Linked DNA regions of Sus scrofa. The protein of the gene in region 1 interacts with the protein of each later gene in a biochemical or structural test. Links are inferred from orthologs where the notes say so. Each region holds a gene or a part of one and is shown on either strand. Other genes may lie near its edges.

Region 1 (4,430 bases):
TGCTCTGGGTTTCCACCCATCACGCTGGAGTCAGACCCATATCCGCATATCCTCCAGCCACAGAGTGGTGCTGTCCATCTCAAATTCTCCGTGTGCAGTTGCTAGGACAGTGGCAAAATGAAATGTCATCTAGAAAATACATTCCAGAAGATGTAAGGAATCCATATTCTCCAACTTAAAAAAGGACTATACACAAATCATCAAAAAATACTAGAGCCCTGGAGAGTGTGCGCGCACCTTACTTTGCCCCTTGAAAAACCAGATGAACATCTGCAAATCTACTTAATATTGAGTGGAAATTCTGAATGCTCATTTAAGATTGTGGAAAAGCACAACAAAATCCTCCTGCTCTTTCCAGGCTGCCTCTTTTTAAGACGTTTTTTAATGCTAGCCCCAGTCACTGCCTGCCTTGAACGTGACTCTCTAGAGGAAAGATGTTCTTTGTGTTCTCTTCACAAACTCTTTATTGGGGAAAGCAGTTGTGAAAACCGCCCTCCAGTGATCAAAAAGAATAAACCTGCTTTCTTGACCTTGGGACCAATTGCTGCTAATATTCATACCTAACAGCTCCTCGAACATTATCTCCATATCTTGGTTTTTAGATGTAACATCAAAAAATTTTCCTTAACTTTCTTTCCCAGTTACATATTATTAAGAATTCATTTAGGAGTTCCCATCGTGGCTCAGCAGTAAGGAACCTGACTAGGATCCATCAGGATTCGGGTTTGATCCCTGGCCTTATTCAGTGGGTTAAGGATCCGGCATTGCTATGAGCTGTAGCTTAGGCTGGCAGCTACAGCTATGATTCGACCTCTAGCCTGGGAACTTCCATATGCCACAGGTGTCACCCTAAATAGACAAAAAAGAAAAAGAAAAAAGAATTCATTCATTTAGGATTCCTCCTGTGGCACAAAGGGATGGACAGCATCTCTGGGCTAGGACACAGGTTCAATCCCCAGCCTGGCACAGTGGGTTAAAGGATCTGGGGTTGTCGCAGTTGTGGCTCGGATCTGATCTCTGGCCCAGGAACCCCATGTGCCACAAAAAAGGGGAAAAAATCATTTATTCAATACACATCTTTTGAGAACTGATTTTGTACTAGACACTAGCTGCAAGGAATTCAGTAGTAAACAAAACAGACAAAAAGCCCTGGCCCCATGCAACTTACATTCTAGGGCGAGGGAGAAGTGACTTACATAAAACTTTAGTAAAATATGTAGTTTGTTCAATACTGATCAGCGCTCAGAAGAAAAGGTGGATGGGGATTAAGACTGTTGGTGTGGACCTCTGCTGTTTTTGCTGTAAACATTCATCTAAAAAGTTATCTTCAATTGTTACTTCTTTTTACTTCATAATATCACCATATCCTTTTTTTTCCCCTGCACTAGAGTCATGTGGAAATTGCCAGGGCCAGGGATCCAGCCCACACCACAGCAGCGACAACACTGGATCTTTAACCTGCTTCACCACAAGGAACTCCCCGTGACATATTTTTGATGTATTTACTAAAACCCTCTTCCATGAACATTTCTTAATTACAGCCAACTTTTATCAGCCTAGTCTTCCATGTGTTGACACTTGCTGTTCATCAAATTAAAATACCTTCTGCAGAATAAATTTCTGTTTTTAAACAACTGGGAGGCAGGGAGAGGAAGACACTAACATTTACTTGGCACCTACTATTTGGCCAGGCATAGAAGCAGGCAGGCACTTTGTATTTACCAGGGCTTCTGATCTCCATATGACCCCAAAAGATAGGTAACATCGTTCTCCTGTTACAGAGGAAGAAACAGATACTCCAGCAATTGTCTAAAGTCACACAGTAAGTGTGGCATGGCTGAAATTTGAACTTCGAGGCCCATATTTTTCAGTCTCTCCTCCAAAACTTTGCACTACTGGGATTTTTTTTTTTAATCTTCTGTTTTTCTTGGCTGATCGATCTTTATATTCTTTGGATCGTTATTACATTTTGTCTTATATAGCAAAAATTTTACTTTTCTCCAGTGCCTAAAAGCGGCCTCACATCCCTTCTCCATAACCTTAAAATTAAACTGGACTATGTTTAATGGAATCGAATAAACCTCTCTGAACCATATTAACCACAATTTAAAAAAACTTGAAGTGACCCCTGAACTCGAAGATCACTGGCACCTTTTTTCCCCCTACAGTCACCATCCCCTTACCTGAGCACTCCTTTTGCTATAGAACCTCACACCTAGGTCCTAAGTCGATGGAATGAATGCCTAGGTAGTCACTGGGATTTCACAGGGCATATTTAAACGCTAATAAAACGCAACACAATCAGAGATAATCAACTATGAACATCAGATATGGATAACCCCACATTTTCTTTCTTAGGGGTATTCTTCCCCATCACCCCAACAGCAGTTCCCAGGTTGGAAGAACTGGACCGCCCGCAGTAAATTACAGTCCCTGAAATCTCAACAATGACCCGCCACTGACGCCCCGAGCGAGGGAGCGGCGCGCCCTTGACCGCGGACCGGGCAGAGGATGGATTCTGAGAAAGCTCAGAAAGCGCTCGCTGATAATACACGGTTCGCTGCCTCCGCGTCAGCCCGGCTGGAGATTCTCAGCCAGAACCCGCAGCGGCGGAGACCCGGGGACCCGCCCCGCCGTCGGCTGCACACTCACGGTAGTCCAGGCGAGGGTCGTGAACGCGCCCCGCCCCCGTCCCCCCACCCCCTTCCCCGACCCTGGTCCGCGCACCCCGCGCCCCGCGGCCCTCACCACAGCTTCCTCTTGAGCGGCAGGAGGCTGCCGCGGTTGGACGGCGTGACGCCGATGGCCATCTGCAGCACCGTCAGGTATTTCTGGTACTTCATCTTGTCCCCGCTCCGCTCGCGGCCAGGGCCTCGCCGCCGCCGCCGGCGCCGCAGACACAGCCCCTCCAGGCGCCGCATAGGTCAGCCCTGGGCCATCCGCCGCCCCGCTCCGCCGCCAGGCTCCGCTTCCACCGCCGCCGCCGCCGCCGCCTGCGTGCCGGCCGTGCGCGTCCGGGCTCCCGTTCCCGCGTGCGTGCGTGGTCTCCGCTCCCGCCGCCGTGCGTGGCCGCCGCCCCCTTCCTCCCCTACCCACCCAGCTCCAGCCCCGCGCCGCGCGGCGCTTCACACCCGCCCGCGAGCCCGCGCCCGCCTCTGTGCCGCCGGCTCCCAACTGCGGGCGAGGCCGCCCCTCCAACCCCGCGCCGCCCCAGCGTCCTCCGGTCGCACAGCGCGTTCACTCCCACAAAATCCCAACCACAATCTTCCAGAGGAGAAAAAAAAATTTTTTTTTTTATAATTACTACTTGACACCATCATTTATGTGCTCCACCCAAAGTGTGTGCACGTGTTGTGTGTCTGTAAAATGCACGCACATACACATGCTGTTTGTATGTATAATATGTGTATATATGTCGGTCCTCTCTGGCAGGCAGACCAACTGTGGAAACAACCCTGAACCGTGCAAAACTATCTTAAAAAGAGTCGACGGGAAAAAATGAAGACTGTTACACCGACCTTGAAACATTTTGTCCAAACATTCCTAACTCTTCACTGGTGGTTATAAGTGTATAGAGAAATGGGAAAATAGCAAAGCGAATCATTTGTTGTACTGTAAAACAGTGCAAACGTTGAGAACTGAAGTGTTTTATTCCTTTTCTTGTCTTTTTAGGGCCACACGTAAGGCATATGGAAGTTCCTAGGCTAGGGGTCAAATTGGAGCTGTAGCTGCTGGCCAATGCCACAGCATAGCAATCCTAGGCCAAGAGCTGCGTCTGTCACCTACACTATAGCTCAACGTGGAATCCTTAACTCACTGATGGAGGCCAGGGATGCAAGCAGCATCTTCATGGATACTAGTCAGGTTCCTTACCTCTGAGCCACAGGGGAACTCCAAAGTGTTTTATTTCTTGCAACAAAAAAGTAACGAGTAACATAAAGGGTGCTTGTCTTTTCCTAGAAGAGTTGTTATATACCCACAGAGCCTGTTTTCTGTGTCTTGGCAAAGAGTCATGTTTGGATCACTTTCAAGATTTTATCCTCTGGGTGATCACTGTGGTAGAGTATATTAGAGTTCCTTTAGCCTTATGTCCTCTGGGACATCATCATCCTTTCTGTCACAGTCCACTGTCCTCATTCAAGCTTTCGTTTGGTACATTCCTCTGGCAGCATGTCCAGAGTCACTGGAAAGGTGGCAATGTCAGCATTCCCACAGTTGCCTATTTTTTTAATAACTCCAGTTATATTCCATTCATATTTCATGTCTCTTCCATCTTTACCATTTTTGTTTCTTTGCTGCACTTCCATCTTTGTTGGCTAATTCACTCTTTCATTTAACCTGATTTTTTTTTTTTTTTTTACAAAGCTGTGTACGTTTACCACTGGAAGAAAAGAAGGCAACGTAATTGTACACTTTTCTGCCAGTGGCTA
Region 2 (2,992 bases), on another chromosome or scaffold:
CTCCCATGCTGCCATCCCCCAGCCAAGAGCCGTGTCTTAAAAAAACTCAGTTTCCTGTTTCTAAGGAGATCACCGAATAGGCCCCTTAGCAGGATGCCTGGTCGGAGGGAGGCAGGGGCTTCAGAGAAAGTTGGAGCTGAAGTAGCTTCGGAGGGAGTTCCTCAGGACAGTCAGTGTCTGCTGCCACCTTGAACGTTCCACCATGTCTTCTTTCCTTGTGCTTTCCCTGGGCAGCGATTCTGGTCTTTTTTGGTCCCCCTCCTCCCTCTCATCCTACACCCACTGGTTCTCTGTTCCCTTGGGACTGTGGGATGGCTTTATTTCAGGTCACACACAAACCAGTCCAGACACTGTGGAGTTATAACAAGAGAGGGATGGAGGCTCCCGGGCCCATTACTTACTAGCCAATCAGTTCCTTTGGAGGGAGGCTTGGGATGGAGCTTAGCGCCAGATGGCCATAGAAGCCACCGTGTCTCCTTCCCACCCCCACCCCCCAGCAATGAGCTGAGAACCAACCCGAGCAAGAGGAAGGGTCTTCGATCACAGAGAAGGTCAGTCACTGGGATGCGATTGGTGGGTTTGGGGTTGGAGTTTCAGGTAAACCAGAGGACTGAGGGGCGCCTCTGGGGCCTGGCCTAGGGTGGGGGGTGGGTTTAGAGTGGAGAGTTGGGGATTCAAGGTGGGAGGAACGGGGCGCCAAGATGAAGGGAACCGAAAATCTGGCTTGGCAAGCATCTTGACAGTTCAACCTGCACGCTGTCACAGCAGCTCCCGTTTCTGCCCTTGCTTGATCCAGTGGCCAAAGTCAGTCTATCCTCAGCAGCACCTTCTGGCGCAATCCAGTGGCAATGTCCCTCACCTGTGGCCCTGGGGGAAGGCTGTCCACTGGCTCTCACAGACCCAGCCCCCCCCAACCGCCAGCGCTGGCCCCTGGGTCTTCACACATACCCTGTCAGGCTGTAGGAGTTAAACTCACTCTTGGCTTTGGGTGGTTGACCAGGCCTCGGAGAGCTCCGGGTGGCGAGGGGCTGGGCCTGATAGGCATCGTAGTAGTTGGAGCGATTTCCTTGCAGTGGGCAGGAAAAGCAGAGGATGATCCCAGCTATCAGGGAGAACAGGGAGGAAATGATGCCCAAGTAGAGAGCCTCTCCGATCTCAAATTTCATGCTGTCAGGCACCAGGGGGGAGTAGAAGTCCCGCAGGATCCCATGAAGATTCCACGCAACGGGGATGAAGCCCAGGAGGCCTCCAAGGAGGAAGAAGACTCCACCCACCACCGCCACTCTGTCTTTGGCGCGAGAGTTCTGGCAGAAGACGGTGCACCGCATGCCCACCACGGTGATGATACAGGCCAACGAGGAGATGGCGCTAGATGTCACCATCATGGCCTGGGCAGCCTGGATGTCAGCAGGCAGGCCCAGCATGGTGCTGTAGATGTCACACTGGGTGATGCCAGTGCTGTGCGTGGCACACTCCATCCAGAGGCCCTTGGAGAAGCCGACTGCCGTCACGATGCTGGCCCCGACGTAAGAACTCGTTCGCCAGCTGGGGAGCAGCATGGCAACCAGGGTGCCCAAGAGCCCCAGAAGGCCCAGGATGTAGCCTACAAGTTGGAGGCCGAGAGAGGCCATGGCCGACCTCTCCGTAGATGCGTCTTCAGGGCCCGTTCCCTCGTCTCCCGGCTGTAGCACTTGCTCCTTGGATCCTGGCCTCTAATCCCTCATTGCACAGTGTCTCCGCCAGGCCGACCTCTCGCCTCCTTACAAGTGTCTGTGGGTGGCCACGAGCAGGCTCAAGAAGGCATCCAGAAGACCTAAAAAAAAAAAAAAAATCCATAAACCAGATTAAATATTGACCAGAAGCTTATGAGAAACCAGAAAATGCTGGATGCCTTTTGACCTTTGTTATCTTTAGAAATAACACACGAGAAAGAAAAAAAAAAAAAAACTTTGAAAGTGGAGCCAAAATGTCGTCGCCTCCTGCGTAGGCACATGCATTAGTTTGGCAGCCAGACAAAGCCAGCGGCCAGACGGGTGGCTGCTTTCCGAGAAGCTGGTGATGGCAGCGTTGGTCGTGGGGACTGTGTTTAACTCCGGGTCAGGCTGTCGGCTGGCACGGTTCTGTCTCCCAGGCCTACTGTTTAACGCATTGCCCGGCAACAGTGCCACAGGGCCCCTCAATTGCACACTGGGGCCAAACTCCAGGAAACTGGAGTGGGAGGAAGAGGCCCCAAGATAGAGCCGTGAACTCCAGCTTGTGAGAGACCTCTCGAATCTCCAAAGGCCTAGAGAGCAATGATGTAGGCCCGAGTCAACCTGTCCATGATGAAAGGGTTGGGGCAGGTTGGGACAGGCAACAAAGCCTTCAGTCCACTGTCTCAGAGTTCAAGTCTTCCCAGCCCTGCCCAAATCCTCCTCCACAGGCTAGCCTGAGGTCTCCTGTCTGTATAACACACGCAGATTTCTTTTCTTTTGTTTTCTTTTTTTGTCTTTTTAGGGCTGCTCCCGCGGCATATGGAGGTTCCCAGGCTAGGGGGTCTCATCGGAGCTGTAGCCTCCAGCCTACACCACAGCCACAGCAATGCCAGATCTGAGCCGCATTTGCCACCTACACCACAGCTCACGGCAACACCGGATCCTTAACCCACTGAGCGAGGCCGGGGATCGAACCCGCATCCTCATGAATACCAGTCAGTTTGGTTAACTGCTGAGCCACGACAGGAACTCCCACCCCGACAATTCTTGCCCACCCTCCTCAGAGGTGGCCCACCATCCCTAGGCCTTTTAGGTGACGTGGGAGGATTCAGGAGCAAAGATTGTTCCAGGGCCTGGAGGGAGTTCTGACATTCCCTAAGCTCTCTGTTAGGGGCACCAGGACAGACAGAGGAAAAGATAACTGCTCTAGAATAGAGGGCTTTGCAAGAGGCAGCCTTTAGCATCTCAGAGCTGTTCGGGATTTTGCAGGGTTCAGTGAGCATCCCCCCAGCCCCTGC

The links.
Region 2: the proteins of TJP1 (region 1) and CLDN2 form a complex in vitro, tested with the Homo sapiens proteins (2 studies listed by BioGRID and IntAct, with this or other methods). The link is inferred for Sus scrofa from reciprocal best matches to the Homo sapiens genes TJP1 and CLDN2.

Annotation. Positions count from the first base shown.
Region 1 is NC_010443.5:145,192,870-145,197,299, forward strand, and holds the start of TJP1 (tight junction protein ZO-1), read right to left. Parts: upstream 2,989-4,430; 5' UTR 2,922-2,988; coding exon 2,749-2,921; intron 1-2,748. UniProt on the Homo sapiens protein: TJP1, TJP2, and TJP3 are closely related scaffolding proteins that link tight junction (TJ) transmembrane proteins such as claudins, junctional adhesion molecules, and occludin to the actin cytoskeleton.
Region 2 is NC_010461.5:87,351,743-87,354,734, reverse strand, and holds CLDN2 (claudin-2), read right to left. Parts: upstream 1,767-2,992; 5' UTR 1,632-1,766; coding exon 939-1,631; 3' UTR 813-938; downstream 1-812. UniProt on the Homo sapiens protein: Forms paracellular channels: polymerizes in tight junction strands with cation- and water-selective channels through the strands, conveying epithelial permeability in a process known as paracellular tight junction permeability.